Schizosaccharomyces pombe: one gene and its partners. The gene in region 1 interacts genetically with each later gene. Each region holds a gene or a part of one and is shown on either strand. Other genes may lie near its edges.

Region 1 (5,726 bases):
CCAAAAACCTTACTTTCAACTTCTTTCCGATGCTCTTCGTGGAGGCGGTGTCATTACTACTCAAGCTGAGTGTATGTGGATTCATTTGGGTGTCATCAGCAATGTCTTGACTGCCGTTAAAACAGTTTTCCCCAATGTTCGTTACGCATACACTACTATCCCCACCTATCCCTCTGGATCTATCGGCTTCGTTGTAGCCTCCAAGGATGCTTCCATCGACCTTAGCAAGCCTCTTCGCAAGTGGTCTCCCGAAGAAGAGAATAAGCTTTGTAAGTACTATAACAGTGAAATTCATGCTGCTTCCTTTGTTCTTCCTACCTTTGCTCGTGATGTCGTTGACAAGGCTACCTCCTCTTAAGCAAACATTTTTATTTTTTTTGGCTAAAGTTTCATACGTCTTAATCAATGCAATCTTAAGTCAAAATGTATACTCTTTTTTCTTTGTTTTCACACTTCTGCTCTCTACTTTTTGTAAGTGAGATTACGTTCTCTTTCGGTAGTTGATATGCAAAAAAACCAGTGAAATACCAGCATAAGTAAATAATATTCCTTTAGTAATTGGTACCAAGAAACCTATGTATTAAATAATCTCTAAAAATCAACATGCTTTACATTTTAAGTGCATTCTTGACAACTTTTTCAAGCTCTTCGTAGTCATCTGTAGGCACTCGCGTGATGGGACGTTGGAAGTATTCTTGAATGGCGTTCATTTCTTCCCAACTCTTTTTATCGTGAACAAAATTGATACTTACTCCAACACGGCCGAACCTACCGGTACGACCTATACGGTGAAGATATGTTTGTGGATCGGGTCTTCCTGCTTGATCTAAAGGCATATCATAGTTTACAACCAAGTTGACTTGCGATACGTCGATACCCCGAGCAATTACATTCGTAGTAACCAAAACCTTTGAAGTACCTACTCGGAATGAATCCATAATAGCGTCACGTTGTGCACCTTCCAGATTACCGGTAAGACAAGCAACAGTGTGTCCATCTGCAGTCATACGCCTAGCAATTTCTTCAGCGGTATCCTTTTTCTTACAAAATATAATTGATTGACCAATAGTCAATAACCCATATAATTCCACTAAAACATTATATTTATGTTCTTCACTTTGGCAATCCATATACAACTGCTTGATTCCCTCAACAGAAAGCTCCTCAGTCTTCAGACGAATTTCATTAGCATTGGGAGCAAAACGTTCAGCGTACTTTTCAACGCGTTCCGAAAAGGTAGCACTGAAAAGAACAATCTGAGTGTTTCTAGGAAGAAGGTGCTTGATACGCATAGATTGATCTCCTAATCCTTGCTGATCTAACATGTTGTCTGCCTCATCTAACACGAATACTTTAATATCGCGAGCGTCAAGCTGTCTTCTCTTCATCAAATCCATCACAGTGCCAGGCGTTCCGATTACAATTTGAGCATCGATTTTTGCACCTTTAGGGACGGAGTCTTTAATACCAAAAGCTGTTTTTACTTCAGTATATTTGCCCATCTCCGTCACGACATCCATAATCTGACGGGCCAATTCACGAGAAGGAGCGAGGCAGATAGCTTGAGGTTTGGGAACAGAAGCATCAACACGAGAAAGCATCGTTAATGCAAATGCAGCGGTTTTACCAGTTCCGGATTGTGATTGTCCGATCATATTGCGAGGAGGATTTGAGAGTAAAAGTGGAAGCGCCTTCTCTTGAATTTTTGAGGGTTTTTGGAATTTCATTGAATAAATTCCCTTTAATAATTCGGGCTTGAGCTCCAACTCTTCAAAACTTTTAACAGAAAAAAGAGGTGAGTTTGGATCAGCCTGTAGATCTGCTAATTTTACACGAACCTCGTTTTTATTTGGTATTAAATTAGATTCATCATTTTCAGATTGCTTCGTATTGGCGTCCTCTGCAATCGTGTTGGTCGCTTTGTCTTGCTCAGATTTTGCATCAACATTCTCAGTGATTTTTGGACCTAATCTGTCACTTAAATTTGTTGCTTTTTGATCTTCATTTTTATTTTCTGAAGTATTTAACTGATTGACTTTATCACTAATTCTTTGAACCTCTTCATCAGAGTCCAAACTAGCCCAGTCAGTTTTGCTTTCCTGTCCCAGTGTAGTTGACATTTTGGATGTTTTTTAGTAAAAAAAATAAAAAAAATCAAATTTATAGTTCAGATATCCAAACTCAGCAAGGATGACTTAGCAAACTGGATGACAATTTCTGGTGGGCAATGTAGTTGGTGATTGCTAAGTTACTCCTTAAGTGAAAGTTGAACAATATAGGTTTCGATTCACCACCGTACTTCCTTTTCATCAACATTCGTAACGTAAAGCCAAAAATTGTCACAATTTCTTCCGTCAAACTTTCTTTTTAATTGTTTTATATCCGGTACAAATTTTTATTGCAGCGATATCAAACGTGTAGATAATACTGGATAATGAGCCTGGAAACATACAAATTTAGTGATGAACTTCACGTAAGGTGTTTTAGTTATTTGGCATATTTACTAATATATAAAAGGACGATTTTAAAGTTGTCGACAGTTGGGTATGCCAAGAATGAAAATGAAGACAGTTCAACAATTAACACATTGTAACAAAGATTAATAATGGCGCGAAATGGCTTGAAGATATTCAATTGTACTACAAAGAAAGAAGTTCTATTGGTAAATAAGAAACGACAATGGTTAAATTTCAATGACTAACTTTGTTGCTAGAAAAAGAATATGCTCAGAAATTAGCCAGTCTTTCGAATAAATATGGGGAGAAGAAATCCAGAAAATCATCAGCCCTTTCAGTCGGAGATACTCCGGCAATGTCTGCTGGCTCTTTAGAATGGTATGTAAAATATTGGAACCTGTCAAGCAATTGAAGTTAGATGGATATTGAATTCCTGTTCACAGGCTAATTTTATAGTGCTTCTTTAACAACATGGTCTAAAATTTTGGATGAGTTAACGCGCTCATCAAAAACTCATCAAAAGCTATCCGATGACTATTCATTGGACATTGCTGAAAAACTGAAGAAACTAGAGTCTCATATAGAGGCTTTAAGAAAAGTTTATGATGATTTATATAAAAAATTCTCATCCGAAAAGGAGACATTGTTAAACAGTGTGAAGAGAGCCAAGGTCAGTTACCATGAGGCCTGCGATGATTTAGAAAGCGCAAGGCAAAAAAACGATAAATATCGAGAGCAAAAAACTCAAAGAAATTTAAAATTATCTGAAAGTGATATGCTCGATAAGAAAAATAAATACCTACTTCGTATGCTTGTATACAACGCCCACAAGCAAAAGTTTTATAATGAAACTCTACCAACGCTCCTTAATCATATGCAAGTATTGAACGAATACAGGGTTTCGAATTTAAATGAAATATGGTGTAACAGCTTTTCAATTGAAAAGTCTCTCCATGATACCTTATCCCAAAGAACCGTTGAAATTCAATCAGAAATTGCAAAAAATGAACCAGTCCTTGATTCTGCCATGTTCGGAAGGCACAATTCAAAGAATTGGGCACTTCCTGCTGACTTGCATTTTGAACCTAGTCCTATCTGGCATGACACGGATGCACTGGTGGTGGATGGTTCATGTAAAAACTACCTCCGAAATTTACTGGTCCACTCCAAAAATGACCTTGGAAAACAGAAAGGCGAGCTTGTATCGTTAGATTCACAATTGGAAGGTTTACGCGTCGATGATCCAAATAGTGCTAACCAGTCATTTGAATCTAAAAAGGCTTCGATAAATCTAGAAGGGAAAGAGCTCATGGTAAAGGCCAGAATAGAAGATTTAGAGGTTCGTATCAACAAGATCACGTCAGTTGCGAATAATTTAGAAGAAGGAGGTCGTTTTCATGATTTCAAACATGTTAGTTTTAAACTTCCGACAAGTTGCAGTTACTGTCGTGAAATTATTTGGGGGTTATCGAAGCGTGGATGTGTTTGCAAAAGTACGAAATATTTGCTTTCTTTCGTTAACTAACAAAACACGTGTAGATTGTGGCTTCAAATGCCATGCAAGGTGTGAACTTCTTGTTCCCGCCAACTGCAAAAATGGTGAGCCCGAAGTGGCCGACGATGATGCTGTAGATACCAGTGTTACTGCCACTGATGATTTTGATGCTTCTGCGTCGTCTTCAAATGCCTATGAATCCTATCGTAACACATACACAGATGATATGGATTCAAGTAGTATTTATCAAACTTCCTTAAGCAACGTGAAAACAGAAGAAACAACGCCTGCTGAACCAGCGTCAAAGGTTGACGGTGTAGTTCTTTACGATTTTACCGGGGAACATGAAGGGGTAATCACAGCTTCTGAAGGACAGGAATTTACGCTACTTGAACCAGATGGTAAGTAAAGCTTGAAAAATCCCATTCTAATAGATCAATATAGATGGCTCTGGTTGGGTTCGAGTAAAAATCGATGGAACTGATGGCTTGATTCCAGCTTCTTATGTTAAATTGAATGATGAATTAAATACGAGTGTGACACTTGATGGAGATTCTTCTTATGTTAAGGCGTTATATGCATACACAGCTCAATCCGATATGGAATTATCAATCCAAGAGGGTGATATAATTCAGGTCACAAATCGAAACGCTGGAAACGGATGGTCTGAAGGGATACTTAATGGAGTGACCGGTCAATTCCCAGCTAAGTAAGTCTTTGTTTTTTTTTTTTATTCATTTCTCCATTTCTTTGCACAAAAACTAACATATGTCTTAGTTATGTTACAGATGTATAAACCATTGAAATATCTATATGAATATTATCTACTTCATTGTTGATAAATTTTACCTTCTTTATGTATTACGAAAAGCAAATTGTCAATAATAACTTACGATTTTTTATCCACTACAATGTAGTTGGTCGATACACCAAAGTATTTTTTTGCTAGATTGATCTTTTTTTTTTTGAATTTTAGATATTTATAATAACTATACTAAATGCTATGCCTAAGGAAAATTTTTTAAATTGAACTATGCTATATTTTTTTCGTTAGTAACCAAAATTTATGTTTACTGAAGAATACAGTTTCGCGTTACGAGAAAATTGATCAACAATTTTTTAACGAATACATACAAACACATTGTCATTACAACAGAGAGGAATCGAAGGATGTGATATGTCATCGTACATTTTCAAAAGTAATCTGCAAATTGAAACAAACATATAAACGACATGTGATATTGGAACTAAGTCTAAAAACATTCCCGATAACGAAGGGAAAACTTTCATGAAAGGTAACGAAAAAGAGAAAAAAGCCAAAATGGTGAAAATATAAGGAAAAAAAAGTTGTGTGTTCAATTCTTCTATACTTTAATTATTCGTAATGATCTTCGTCAACTCGTATGTCTTAGCGCCGTCGTCAAACTTGGACAAAATGCGGCTAGGAGGATATCTGCCCTGGACAACACCCAAGAAAGCATCAAATTCATTATAATAGGGATCATCTTCGGGGAAATTAATAATGCGTTCGCTATCAGCCTCAGGAGAACGAATGTAAAGTCTGGGTTGACCGTAAAAGTCAACCATACGAACATAATGACCATCTGCTTGAAGCTCTAGACAAGTGTCATAATTCGTTCCTTGTAAAATGATACTATGAGCGAGAATACCAACTGCACCCGACTTATATTTCCATGATGCAGCGGTGAAACGGGGGATGCGCTCCTCTTTGGGAATGGACTCCTCGTCAACAGGAACCTTAGCTAATTTTCCAC
Region 2 (5,011 bases), 620 kb from region 1:
TTTGTTCAGTGAGATGATGCCATTTAAACTTAGGAAGATATTTCATGTTCCATATATCATCGTGATACCAACTGCTCTTTTTACCACCAATTTGATTTGTATTAAGCAATTCTGCAACTGATTTGGCAACGCGTTTGCTTTCAAATTCAATCCAACCTTCTTCATACATTACTCTTTTATTTCCGCCATTTCTCAGCCTTTGTGCCCTCTTAGCTGATGACTCAGGTGTTAAATATACCCTTCCAATTTTTCCATACTGAGAAAGAATTTGTCTAAGCTTGTTTGGTGCCATGTAAGGAGGGATACGAGAAAGATATATAACTCCTGAACGCTTAATAGCTTTTCTTTGCTTTTCAACTTCTTCAAGTGATATTTTTTTTATAGAATTTGCATTTTTTGTGGTCTCCTCATCCAGCTCATTTTCAGAGCCGCCTGAAAAGTCTTCATGGTCTGAAGTTTCAGACTCGAACGTGGAATCTCTCCGGAAGCGATCAAGATGGGCATCTCGTTCCTCAAGCTCATCGGCGGAGCTTTCAGATTTGACCTTTAAAACGTCTACAACTGGTTTTGTTGATCTTGAGGAACGAATAGCTTTTAAAAATCGTTCATCTTCTTCATCTTCACTCAAATCTTGGTCAACGTACTTCTCTTCTTCTTCGGCCCCAAATAATTGTTCAGCTGTAGACATATTTGGCTAATGATTTGCTTGTTGGTTTACTTTTCAATCTAAAAGTTAAGAAGTAATCTTTTAAAGAAATTCTATGCCACAACAACTTAATCTTCGAAACGCCTAAATTGTAGAAATGAAAACTTCTATACACTCGAGTTTCATGAATTTCAAGTGACAATAAATTGTTACCTAAAAAGGAAAACCGTGAAAAAAGATGAGAATGAAATGATTTTAGTAATATTTTATGTTATTTATAACTAACATTTTTCAAGTTAATGATCTATGATCAATAAAAAGGTAATAGAGGCTGTTTGCAATCTCAACAAAGTATAGGTGTTCAAATTATTTGAAAGATGAGTGAATCCTCGAAGATAAACAAAGGAGTGACTAAGAATGAAACATCATGGGGGAGTGGTTATAATTGACAATGCTTTATCTGAGATACAGTAGTCTTCAGTAGCTTTTGGATCAGGCTAAGAATTAAATTTAGCGATATTTTATCCCTAGATTTCTTTTGCTTTTTCTTTTTAACATAAAAAATTGAAAACAACCTTCTCTCGAAATTATGGTGAATTTATTAGAACGGATTGAACAGTTAAATTACCAGTAGATGGAATATGTTCGGTCAATTTTTCACCTCATATCAAATCAAAGCACTAATTTGGATACATCCTTATCAAAATATTCCTTTTCAAGATGAGCAAGACGCTTTCTTGAAATTATGCTATGAAACGACTGTTTATCGGGCTGAAACACTTTAGCATAAGGCGAATCACAAGTATAACAAGTTTGCTTTAAGAATGTAAATAGAGAATCATTACTGTCAATATGCTTTAAAGCGAACTTCAGTAACTCCTTAACATGAAGCAATCTTTCCCTAGGATCGAAATAAACTTGAGGACCAATATTAAAAAATTTGCATGCTTGATTTTCAGAGCTTTGAAGTAACAAGTGGGGAGAAAAAAATGATTTATCAAGAATATGGAAATATGGTAATTTAGAAAGTACTTCGATCCACGCATTCGCAGCTTTTTGCCTGAGTAATGGAGTAGGAAAAATTTGAATTAAAAAAGCCATAGAGTCACATAACTGTGCAGAAAGCATCTGTGAAAAATTTGAAAAATTTACATAGTCCCTTTCAAAGGAACCCATCAAGTCAAGTAAAGGGGACCTTTGGTTTAACGGAAACTGTTTACAGGCTCTAGCTACCGTACACTTCTCCAAAGGTGTACGAGGAAGTTTGCTAAGGTTGAGACGATAACTGAAAGAATCACTAATTAAATTAAATGGAAAAGATTTGAATAGAGTTTGGAACCTGCCAAGGTATATTCGCGGTCTGGTTTCAGTCTTTGGAAATAAACTGTAGCAATCCTCCCACAAGGAAACACTTTGATTTAAAAGTACAATGGTACTAGTTTCATCAAGACAGCTTCCAAATCTTTTCAAAAGGCTCCTTGTTTTGGTGATTTTAGAGTCCACAAGTAGGCATTCTATATGTTTGGGCTTTTGACTTCGAAGAAGAATGTTGTCAACTCGTTTAGGAATTGCAGATGAATTTTTTTTATAAACAATCGCCTTTGGCTCTAGCATTTTGCTGTGCAGCTTACAATGGGTTAGGATAACCGGTCTTTGGTCAACTGGTTTTTTTATTTGAGACTTTGCGACGAACCAGCCGGCTTCAGTCGGGCCCAAAATGCATCGTTTAATAACATCTGCCATTAGTAAAATTCCGTAATTTTGTTCACATAGATAATAAAATATCCTGCTTAAAGACCCTCTTTTCTCAAAAAAAAGTGGTAGTAAAACAGGAGTTGGTTTTTTGTTAGACGTTCGAAACTCTATTTAACCCCCTTCAAAAAATTTACCATATAACGTATATAATTTTTGTTTATAGGAATTGCTTTTGGTTTTTTAGAATTCCATTAAGATAATGGGCATGATATATCTACAAAATCACTTACTCACAATACGTTGCACTAGCATTTCCTAAGTTAGGGATCTTGGGAAAAAATGCTTCTTTAAATCCTTGAAAGCATAATAAAATTAAAAAAAAATACAAATTTCTCCTTTTTTATACATGCAATTGCATTTTATTCATAGCCTAGCATTGTGAGTAATGCCAAGTAGACTAAAACAGGGAAATGATTAAATAAAAGCGATGGATGTCAGTCTGCAGTGATAATGCATTATGAAGAAGCTATACGCCAAATCCATAAAACACTCATCTGCCACTGATTTCACGATGACATCTAAAAATGACCAAAAATGAAACTATCTTAGCAAATGCAAAAAGGAATCTCGATATAACTGCCCAAAGTTATGGTACAACTACTAAAACAACAAAAAAAGACGAATAAAGAATATAAAGGAACGTGCAAAACAAAAGAGCGAATTATTAAAGGATAGTGTGAATTTAGGCAAAGACTTCATGTACATGATCTATCAAAAACGCAAGACTGTAATTCTTAACAGTCATGTCAATAACGTCTCTGGAATTATCGGGGTCGCGTATTAATGTTGGGGAAAATACTACTGCAAGGTTCTTGGATGTCATTCGATTTGCATGACTATATGCAGCAACCCTTGCTAAATGTCTAATAATGAGCTGCAAAATTTCAGCATGAGCTGGAGGAAGACTTTTGATGACCATTATAAAACCGTCTAATTTATCTTGGAAAGAGGCACAATTTGCTGCTGTGATGAACGGAAAGTATTGGTCATAGGTAATAATTGGATTAGGAAGGTTGCGAAGATATTGCTTGAATACAGAAGTGACAGCAGAAATATCCTCACTTGGATCAAGTACCGTATCTTCATTTCTTAGTAACGCAACAATTTTTTTCATTTGAGAAGTTGCCCCTGATTTGCGATACAGACCTTCAAAATCCATGCCGTATGACTCGATAAAATTTATACAAGAAACGATAAGCGTCGGGACTCTCAAGAGTGTTAGCCTGTTTTGATCGAAGTCGTCAGGATTCAAAGCCCAAACAGGAGATTCGCTTTTTTTAGATTGATACTGACGATCTATAGTAGAACTAACGCAATCCTGATAATGTGCTCTAAGCTCATTGGAGTATTTACCGCAAAGTTTGCAGTGACCGACCGCTGGAACGAAATCCTCTTGTTCTTCAGAAGCTAAATGTTCTTCAGAAATACTGGGAGTACTCGACATGTGAGGAGAATCTCTTTTCCAATGAAACCGTTTAGAAAATGACTTCTTAAGATCTATTTTAGAGTTCCGTTTGTTATACCCTCCACTCTCCTTGTCTTTATTGTCTTTGGGTCTAAATCCAAGGCTAGATGCAACCATTTGTAGACGCGAAAACGATTCTCGCGGAGACGGGGTTGAAATCGTTCGGTTGGATTTTTTATCATTATTAAATATTCCGAAAGAGGAAGAAGTTCGCTTCTTATGCTGCTGCTCCCTCAAGTATGCCAATTCTCTCTCCAATTGATTGTTAAGGCTTACCAGTTCTGTGTTCTTAACATTCAGATATGCGGTTTCTTCCATTACAGTGCTGTAAGCGTTTTGCAATTTAGAGACAGTCGTAGACAAAGCGTCTCGCCTCAAAAGTAAGGTAGACAGTTCAGGTTGAAAAGATTTCCGTAAATAATCTAATCTATAATTTAAATCTGCAACCAACTCTTGCTTGAAAGCTTCGGGGGACACGGGAGTCTGCTGCTCTATGATAGAAGCCAACGAAGTCGCTTCCAACAATAAGGTTCCAACCTCAGCTTGAAGCTCTGAAATACGAATGGCGAGTTCATTTGCGCTTTCCTCTGTAGCATCAAATACGTTTGAAGTAAACACATCACTTGCTCTAACCAAAGAACTTCGATTGTATTCAGGTTCACATGCTTGATGCAAACTAACTTGCGACAAATTTAAACTTTTGGCCCGCGGGGAAGCCTCATAATTTGAAGAGTTCGTCAATCTTTTCTTCAAGCCGTTTGGTTCGCTACTAAGTCGTTTGTCATCTAACTTATTAAATACCGTAGGATATCTAGGAAATCTAGCCTTTGTAGGAGTTTCGTCGCTTTCCAATCCGTTAACGTAATATTCGTCAAGATTAGATAAACTGTTTCGATTTCTAGGAACCTTTAAATTACATTTATTTGTGACATCACGAAGAGCACCCCTTAAATGGATAGGAGATAGAGCTATTCTGCCAGACACATATCCATATTTAGATGGTGATGTTGTTGTCGAAACAGATTTGTAATTCATAGTAGAAGAGCGGCGAAGTGGAGGAGGATTAACAACGCTTTCATTTTTAGGAAGTTGAGGAAGCGTACCATTTTCGGTTGGTGATTGAACAAAGGCGTGATAAGCAACAG
Region 3 (4,247 bases), on another chromosome or scaffold:
ATCCGTTGCGTTCCTCTACGCCCACAAAAGTAATAGACGACCAACGAGAAATCTTGCTTCAGAAAGCATCGCGAATCTCTAAATTAGACGAAGCGCTTTGCGAGCTTAATAATGAATCTAATGGCTCAATAGATTTATCTATTGACAGCTTCATACCATCTTACGATGAATTCTTGCATAAAAAACTACTAAACGAGGATACTGGTCATGAAAGCAAAGTATCAGACCAAGTTAAGCAAGTCATCAGCACTCCTATGAGCACCTGCTTTGAGCAGTGGTTCGAAGGAGAAGAACAATCGTCTACGGGGAACAATCAAGATATATCCTACTCTAGCGTCAACTCTCTATCTCCAAAAAGACGAGGCATCTCTCTTATGTCCATTGATGCTAACAAATTGAGTCCTAAAAAAACTTCCCCAAATTCTGGATACATAACATCTCCTTTAAGGCATCCGATTTTACTTTCCGAAACAGAACCTGGAACCCCAACAAAAAATGATTCACCTGCTTATATCGGATTACCTTCACAACCCAATAGTATAACTACTTTGAATAACACTAACCAGAAATTCCAAGTTCCTGATAATGACAAACCACCTATGTCTTCATTAAATGAACTATCTGCATCCTACAAGCCTATCGTATTCGACTCTTCGCAGCATAAAACTCAAGGCACTGACAATAATGACTCTTTTTACCACGACGATACAAATTGCATTCATCTTTCACGTTTAGAAAAGATTCGGGAGCTTCTCACATTCGTACAGTTGGAACTTAAATATTATGTAGAACCTCTTAAGAAAGAATTACAAGAGACAAAGACTCTATTGGCTCAAAAGGAAGAAGAGATATCTAACCTAAAAGATAAATTACAAAATGCAGGATTATCTTAATTTATTCATTTACATTGATTCATGAATTAATTTTGGGTACCTTGTCAAAACAATTTGGTCTGAAGGATAACTGACATAATAGCTCAGCATATTCGACATGAGGAAACTAATTTAGAATTCTCTGTTCAACGACGGCAACATTACTCTATAATTCTAATTTGGCAATGTGCAGTGTTTTAAGTAAACAGTTGTAGGGTTCTCTTAATTGAGTTCACCCAGAGGGAGCTATTCCAAAAATTTTGTAATTTTTTGAGTTTGCGTATAGCCGTTAGTGGGCATGTTCATTACTTTTGTCATGCATGTCTTCTATGCACCGTGAGAGTATTGCCGAGCTGGCCAACTTATTCTTAAGATCCTCATTGTCTATTTCGTGAGCTGCAGTTGTAAGTATTTAACATTAGAATAATAGAGAGTTTATACATACCATCTTCCAAAGAGCCCCATCGATTTGTTTGGTACTGAAGTTCTAAGTTCGTCAAAGCGGCAGCTTTTTCAGAGTTCAAATATCCTTTTAAAATCATGAAAGAAACTATGAAGCTCTTGCAGCAACTAACAGATCTTTCAAAAGCTGCTAGTTGCCAAGAGTTCAGCGAGCTGAGCCAGTTTCTTATGCGTTCGTGTGTTTCCTGCGTTTGTTTATGGGCAATAATACCAGCATCACCATCCAAATAGCTTAATTGCACACCAAGTTTGTTTTCAAAGGTTTCTTTCAGTGGCCACCAATTTTCCTTTTGCTCCTCCAACAATTTCCCTTCATATTCTGTTTCGGGGGAGTAAATTAGAATTGTGTCGGTGTCAAGGAAACGAATTAATTGAGTAGAAAGTAGTTCCTTTTCTTCTTTTTTGAATTGTGATATGTCAATAGCTCTCGAAACTAGGGAAGTAATTGGGAGATTGTGTTGTCGAACAGAGGTTGATGGTAATCGATCCCATTCTAGGGCAATCAAGTGTGCTAGTAACTCCATTTCTTTAGGTACCTTAACAATCTTCCCAGAAGGTGATTTTAAATTTCGTCCATCTAATTGAATCAAGACTTCTCCATTTTGGATTTTGGTAGCTGTATTCTTCCAAAATCTCCTGAATGATGGTTGCGGCAAAGGAGAGGAAGCTTTTGTAGAGTAAAACGAATAGCACGTTTTAAATGACAGCAAGTTTTTGCTGGATAATCTGTAAAATTGTAAAGATCGAAGCATCTTACAAAAATAGAAAAAAAAGGGTATTCAAGGTGTCTATCTGAGACACTAAAAAATCTTTCGTACTTCAAACTGCCAAAATTTAATTTTTAATTATTGTTTAAGAGTTAATTATTATGATATACGTTTTTAGTTGGTGTTCTCCAAAATATTGGTTACTATGTAAGATGAGTCTAACAATATTTTGTCACAGGCATGATGAGAATAAGTTTTAATATTTTTTTCTAAAAGTAGTTTTTAATTAAGCAAGAAAAAACTCTTTTAAAATAAATTAATAGACGTTCCTATCATAGTTCCTAAACCGTTGTTTACGTTAGCCGCCTTGAATTTAGCTACGATTAAGACTACTTTTTGACAAACCGTAAATGTAAATTGATAAATTACAATTAGATACTCGGAAAATTAGAAGGAACCTTAAAAAAAATCAATTAACATGTGCTGTTAAAAACTTAAAGTTGAAGAATAGATACAAACAAAATAAAACCTTTCTATAAATGCTACGGTATTATTCTACATAACAAACTACATTTACTAATCGAATAATAAAAATTAGAACAGGATATTGACTATCAACTCGCGTTATGAAAATCCATCAAAAACTCATTAAATATTATTACAATAAAAACCTTGCGCTGGTACAAAAGAACATGTACATTTTTAATAGCTTAGCTATAAAAAATGCAAGTAATTAAAAAATTTAGCCATTTATAGACGTTATACCAAAACCTTTTTCTTCTCCATTTTCCTTTTTGCATATTTTGGAGGCTGAAAATTCGGTATATTGGAAGTGGCCAGCTTCTCAGAAACCAAATCTATAGGTTTGGGTAATTCTTTTTCAACCGTTGTTTCTGCATTCAATCTTCTTATAATTTCACCATCCTGAGACGAAAACAACGATTTAGCTTCACGATCAATTTCTTCTTCCTCAAATTTCCGCTTTTTGGACTCCTCTTCTTCAATTGATCCATATGCATCTTCCTTTAAGAGAGCGATTGCATCATCAATGTTAACTCGAGACCTTCGAGCGCTCTTTTCACGTAGTTCGTCGAGTGCATCACTAATTTGCATTTGTCGTTTAGTGTCTAATGTTTTTTGTTCTAATTTTTCCATTTCGTCCTCCTCAGGAATGTCATTGCGTTCAGCTAACTCATTTTCTTCATATTCTTGTAATCTTTTTTCATGCCACGGCTCATAATTCCTGGAAGCTCCACTCTCTGCTGCATAATCTGCATGTTTTGGATCGGTTATAAATGTTATTTCAGCAGCACACCTAGTGCAGCGAATATAAAACCTCAATATATCAATTGAAAAATATTTTTCGCCGGTTTTCTCCTTCCTAGCGTTAAACTTTTTTCCTTTATATATATACTCTCCACAAGTATGACAGCGCATTGAAAATGGAGTCATCAAACGAACAGTCAATTTCCCACCATTTGGTCCTTGAAACTTTTTCTTTTTCTTAGGAGGACGAATGGAAGGATCATAATCGGGCGGGATATACTTGTTAAGTACCTTTCGTTCAGACATTGTTGGAAACTATGAAAAAAAAATGAAATGAACGTACGAGAATTGCTTTACCAAATTCAAAAAAAAAGAATAAATTAAAGTAAGGAAAATTTAACCGTCCTTTTGGGTTGGAATTATTTGACTTTACAGATGAATTTGAAAATGCTAGTTTTATGTGGATATGCGCTTTTTGTAAGCGAATGGCAAAAGTACTAGTACTATCTGTAGTTCTTTGACACTCGATACGTCGCGGTAATAAATTGAATGCGCACATAGCACTACGTAAACATATTTAGTACCATCCTTATATTTCCTTATACAATACCTGAGCTGAGCTATCGAGACGTGAGCAAGCGTTGTTTGTCAATCTTACACCTTCCGGTGTTTTAAGAGTACTTTAGATTCCCTTATAAATTGTGTATTATTTAAATGCTTCTGATTAATTTTGACTGATCAGTCTCCATAGTACTTTACGCTTACAGCAATAGACAATTAATGGGGTTGTTGGCATTAATGGCAGGAATAGATGATTTATATGAACTTGGTTAAAAATCGCTGTATTTCAGCTTATGTTCGTCTTAGTAAAGTTGATAGCAATGATCATAAGAAAACACCTGCTATATTAATTTATCATATGTTCATTTAAGTAAAGCTT
Region 4 (4,932 bases), on another chromosome or scaffold:
AATCTTCTAACTTTGAGAATTTAGAAAGCCCTCGTAATCTTCATGACTCTAATGTTTCTACTTTTAATAATACCACCATCTTGGATGACGACTATTCTAGTAGCATGCACATATCTAAAACTGGACCCACTCATTCTTTTATTATTTATATTCAAATGCAGCTTTGCTTTGATGATCTAGAGTCCTATCTAATAAGAAGAAACCATTTTCTTTCATTCCCACTATGTAAGGAACAAATACAACTGCATACGGATTTATTCCGAATGATAATTAATGGCGTTATGTACGTACATGAAGGTGTGAACTTGATCCATCGAGATATCAAACCCAGCAATATATTTCTTGCTAAATCTTTACCGGAGGACCGTGGGTCTGTTCCTTTAATTAGTTATAATGATAAAAACGATTTGAAAGAATACATTACTCCTAAGATTGGTGATTTTGGACTCGTTGTTGAAAATAAAAAAAACACAGAAACCGCACTTTCTTTTCTTGAACGAAACCACTTGCCTAATCTGCAAGATGAGACTCAGCATATAGGCACTGCAACTTACGCGGCTCCGGAATTGCTAGATGCTATGTCTTCTCAGCATAATAAATTTACAAAAAAAATCGATACATTCTCATTAGGAATGGTTTTGTTTGAGCTGTTGCACCCGTTTCAAACAAATATGGAACGTGCAACAAAACTTCAAGACCTTCGTCGAGGAAATCTTCCTGAAGAGTTCGTTGAGCAACATATTTGTGAGTCAAGTTTAATTTTATGGATGACAGCCAAAGACCCCACGAAGCGACCATCACTTCTGGAAGTTCTCAATTGTGGACTATTATTACCTAACCAAGTCTCAATGCCAAATATATCAAATATTGTATCAACAAACCACTTGGATGTTGAAACTCAAATGAAACTTATAATGGATGAAAATCAGCGACTGCGTGAACAAATTGCTGTTCTACGATCCAGGATTCAACATCTTGAAACCCGCTAAACTAAAAATCTTCACTTTTTAATACTTAAATTTCCAGTCAATTTGTTCAGTTTCCCGAAAGTATAGCATTATTTATATCTAACGCTTTTATGCCACAAGTAATAAAATAAAGCAAGGATACATTAAAGCTAATTTTGTTTGTAAAAGCTCCGATAAATTCCTTATTATTAAAACCATTCATATCTATACACCTAAATAATCCAAAATAAAAACGACAAAGTAAAAACTATTGAACAGAATCCCTTAAAAAAAGATAACATTCAAAACCTTTTTTTTTTTTTTACCAAGAATGTTGAACAGCAGGTATTTTTTCATTTTCACGTTCTTGCTCATACTCAATATGAATATGAGGAGCGCGCTTCTTCCTGGATTTCTTTGCATCGTCGGTCTTACGTTTCCTGATTTTTCCTTTGTTATCCTCATCCTCATCCTCATCGGATTCAGACTCTGAGCTTTCCTCCTCTTCAGACTCTGAAGTTTCCATGGACTGATCTGAGCCGAGCCAATCTTCCAAATCAGAGATTTCTTCTTCATCTTCATCATCACTAACAAATTCTAATTCAGCTTCTTCTCGTTCCTCCTCTTCCTCGCCTTCATCAATTAAACCCTCACGTGCGGCTAGTACCTTGTTCCATATTTCTTCATTAACATTCAAAGGTTGATCACCATAAACACCACTTTTAAGTCGCTTAACCAATTCTTTTTCAATATTTTTCTCTAATTTGGCGGCAATAAGTGCTTTTCTTTCACGAGAAGCTTCACGATGCGCTTGTTTAGGCTTAATGGGAATTAATGCTGGTTGGTGTTTTAATGCCAATCGTCTAGCCTTCAATAGGTACTGAGTGAGGCGGGTTAGTCTTTGCTTACAGCGGTGGATTTGACGACCAGGCCAATACAATAACTGTTGATCAATTTGCTCCAACGCTTTAGCGTAATTTTTTGATAACTTTATCCGTTGCCAAAGTTTCGATGGAAAATGCGCACGTTCTATAGTTTTCATGTAAAGATACAGCTTTCCATTATCCTCCCGTACTGTGGCATATCTGGAGTTAGCCAATGGACATGATTGTCTATTGCACAACCCAGTGACATTGTATTCATTTCTGCAAAAATTTTGTGCCTCCCCTCTAAAAATTGTGTTAGGTTATAATGTAATACTAAAAGTGCGAAATCAACTTACTTGATCCTATATGAACAAAATTCATGACCTACAACCTGCCAAATCACCTCGTCTTGCTGCATTTTCGAGTATGGCGCTTGGTAAAGAAAATCCAATTAACAAATTCAAGAATCAACCATATAACGAATTTTAAGAGAATGCGGTAAATATTATTAACGGGAAAAATTGTAAGTAATGTTGTGCAAATGCATGGATCAAGTAGACTGCAGATATCCAACATTAAATTACAGTTGTTTAGTTGTTTGGTGTAGCGTTCGTTTTTGGGATTAATCCTTCTTTAGTTTCGATGATTTATTAATAACCATTGATACTTTTCATTAACTATATTGGCTTGCTAATCTCCTAAAAATTCTTCAATTGCAATTTACGATCATTTATACTTGATTTTTAAACTGTTGATTGATTGATTAGATAATTGCTTCCGTATGTATAATTTTGCAATAAGCTAAGAAGCTTACTGCTTAATTTTGAAGTTAACTACCAAAGCAACTAATAACGTCAAATCTTCAGTCTTGTTTGAGATAATTAATCAATTTACTACTGTTAAACTAATGTTGGAAGATAAAAAAGCATGCGAATATTAAATCGAGTCTTTTTAAATACTTTTCAAGCATGCTTTAGAAGATTCGTTCATCAAATTCCTACTATATATGCATTATCAACTCCTCCCGGTACATCTGCTGTTGCAATTGTTCGTATTTCTGGCCCAAATGCATGCAAGGTAAGGCAAATGTCTATAAATCTAGAACAAACCGATCATTTACTAACAACTAATATTAGGTAGCAAAAACACTCGCAGGAAGTGTGCCAAAACCTCGTATAGCGTCCCTGAGGACGATCAAACACCCAGTGCGTTCTGAAGTCATTGACAAAGCATTGATGTTATATTTTAAAAAGCCTTCATCTTTTACAGGTGAAGATGTTGTTGAATTGCAATTACATGGAGGGACAGCTGTGGTGGATGTAACACTTGAAGCCATAAAGCAGTCAGGAATTCCGAATATTCGCTATGCTAAGCCAGGAGAATTTTCCGAAAGAGCATTTTATAACGGTCGTGCAGATTTGACGCAACTGGAAGGATTAATAGACGTTATCAATGCGCAGACAGCCGAACAACTTTACAGTGCAAATAAAGAAGCACATGGCTCCATTTATGATATTTGTTTTCGATGGAGAAAAAAGCTTATCGAATATCGTGCTTTTTTGGAAGCGTCAATTGATTTTTCAGAAGAACATGAACTGGACGATATTGAAACGATCAAGTTGTTTGAGGAATTGAATGAAATGAAAGATGAAATAGACGCTCATATAGAGGGAGGAAAATGTAAAGAAGTTCTGAGGAAAGGTATTAATGTGGCTATTCTTGGGCCTTCCAATGCTGGGAAGTCGAGTTTAATTAATTTACTAGCTAACCGCAGAATATCAATTGTAAGTCCTCAATCTGGAACGACAAGAGATGCTATCGAAGTACTAGTAGATATAAATGGATTTCCAGTATTGCTTTCTGATACAGCAGGACTCAGAAAAGGAGAAGACGTTCAGGAAATTGAGAAAATTGGTATTGAAATTGCGAAAGCCAGGGCGGAAGAATCCCAGTTAACACTTTTTGTTTTTCCCATAAACTACCATTCTTTTTCCGAATCTTTAAAACAGTCAGAAATTTTGGAAACCATTAAAGATTGCCTTCGTCAAAGAAAACCTATTCATTTTCTAATAAACAAAGTCGACTGCGTTTCGGATTACACAACTATGTTTAAGCCCATTAAAGCTTATCTTCAGAAAAATTTTTTGATTCCTGAAAATAGAATACATGCAGTTTCTTGCAAAACAAAAGAAGGACTTATTGATTTCTTGCAAGCTCTTTCCTCTACTTTCGAGTGTATGGTCAACCCTCTTACTAATAATAAAATTCAAGCAAATTTGGGTTGGAATGAACGTCAGCGTCAATGTTTATCAAGTTGTTCCAGCCATCTTTCTTTGGCCCTGCAAAAAAGCTCAGACATCGTAGTTGCTGCCGAAGAGGTGAAGCTAGCTACCGAAGACATAGGTCGAGTAACTGGGGCAGTCGACATGGAAAACGTTTTCTCTGTCATTTTCTCAAAATTCTGTGTTGGAAAGTAATGCATTTGTACAATTATGCAAGCTCGTTGACAAATGTTAAGCTGCAACTTAAAATCTCATCTTATTTATGAATTCGTTAGTTTATTTAGAGAAAAATGGACAGACAACATGGTATTATTGGTAAAAGTCTACATTTCTAAACGCGTTCAAAACTTCAAAATACAAAATATTGAATTATTTATTCATCAAATTTATTTGCTTTCACGTAATATGTGTATTTACAATTTAGCAGCTAATGAGTTTAGAATTAAGGAGGGCGTGTTAATACTCGTTCACTAATGGCTTGAGCTGAATTAACGACATCAGACGAACCTTTAGTAATGGTAGTCAAGGATACAACGATACATAGAAGAAGTGCGGCTTTCAATTTGCCATAGCCAAATCATCAAGATTATCAGTTTCATGGAAAAAAACAGTTCTGTCGATAGTTTAGACATCAGTTTACTTGCAAGGCCATTTCGAAATCCCAATTATAAAGCACAACCTAGGCGAAATCGGAATCTACGACAAATTATTCAAAATGACCCAGTACAAAATGAACCAAGCAAATTTTCTTACTCATCGATAGAAGCACCGCCTAGTGTCCTCCCTCAACCGAAATATTGCGATGTTACTGGATTACTGGCTATTTACACAGATCCC

The links.
Region 2: mutations in bzz1 (region 1) and cbp7 together harm fitness less than expected from each alone (positive genetic interaction), as found in Schizosaccharomyces pombe (one large-scale study listed by BioGRID).
Region 3: mutations in bzz1 (region 1) and atp12 together harm fitness less than expected from each alone (positive genetic interaction), as found in Schizosaccharomyces pombe (one large-scale study listed by BioGRID).
Region 4: mutations in bzz1 (region 1) and mss1 together harm fitness less than expected from each alone (positive genetic interaction), as found in Schizosaccharomyces pombe (one large-scale study listed by BioGRID).

Annotation. Positions count from the first base shown.
Region 1 is NC_003423.3:2,463,739-2,469,464, forward strand, and holds bzz1 (diacylglycerol-binding protein Bzz1), read left to right. Parts: upstream 1-2,289; 5' UTR 2,290-2,434; coding exon 2,435-2,473; exon of another isoform or gene 2,474-2,517; coding exon 2,518-2,544; exon of another isoform or gene 2,545-2,598; coding exon 2,599-2,662; exon of another isoform or gene 2,663-2,713; coding exon 2,714-2,834; exon of another isoform or gene 2,835-2,912; coding exon 2,913-3,949; exon of another isoform or gene 3,950-3,995; coding exon 3,996-4,352; intron 4,353-4,395; coding exon 4,396-4,660; intron 4,661-4,728; coding exon 4,729-4,747; 3' UTR 4,748-5,001; downstream 5,002-5,726. Other genes in the region: srm1 (spermidine synthase), read left to right, coding at 1-358; ATP-dependent RNA helicase Dbp5, read right to left, coding at 609-2,120; SPOM_SPBC12C2.04 (NAD-binding dehydrogenase family protein), read right to left, coding at 5,323-5,726. UniProt on the Schizosaccharomyces pombe protein: Plays a role in endocytosis and trafficking to the vacuole. Functions with type I myosins to restore polarity of the actin cytoskeleton after NaCl stress.
Region 2 is NC_003423.3:1,840,839-1,845,849, reverse strand, and holds cbp7 (protein Cbp7), read right to left. Parts: upstream 2,484-5,011; 5' UTR 2,390-2,483; coding exon 1,319-2,389; 3' UTR 847-1,318; downstream 1-846. Other genes in the region: U3 snoRNP-associated protein Esf2, read right to left, coding at 1-688; Rho-type GTPase-activating protein Rga4, read right to left, coding at 3,084-5,011. UniProt on the Schizosaccharomyces pombe protein: Translation factor for cob1/cytochrome b; plays a role in cob1 mRNA stabilization and required for correct folding of the protein.
Region 3 is NC_003424.3:1,485,970-1,490,216, forward strand, and holds atp12 (F1-ATPase chaperone Atp12), read right to left. Parts: upstream 2,222-4,247; 5' UTR 2,087-2,221; coding exon 1,318-2,086; exon of another isoform or gene 1,269-1,317; coding exon 1,162-1,268; 3' UTR 894-1,161; downstream 1-893. Other genes in the region: SPOM_SPAC9.11 (uncharacterized protein), read left to right, coding at 1-893; cwf16 (splicing factor), read right to left, coding at 2,801-3,613. UniProt on the Schizosaccharomyces pombe protein: Essential for the assembly of the mitochondrial F1-F0 complex.
Region 4 is NC_003424.3:950,412-955,343, reverse strand, and holds mss1 (GTPase mss1), read left to right. Parts: upstream 1-2,376; 5' UTR 2,377-2,740; coding exon 2,741-2,890; exon of another isoform or gene 2,891-2,949; coding exon 2,950-4,290; 3' UTR 4,291-4,432; downstream 4,433-4,932. Other genes in the region: eIF2 alpha kinase Hri2, read left to right, coding at 1-989; nuclear HMG-like acidic protein Mak16, read right to left, coding at 1,270-2,116, 2,170-2,231; Ino80 complex subunit Ies6, read left to right, coding at 4,693-4,932. UniProt on the Schizosaccharomyces pombe protein: GTPase involved in the 5-carboxymethylaminomethyl modification (mnm(5)s(2)U34) of the wobble uridine base in mitochondrial tRNAs.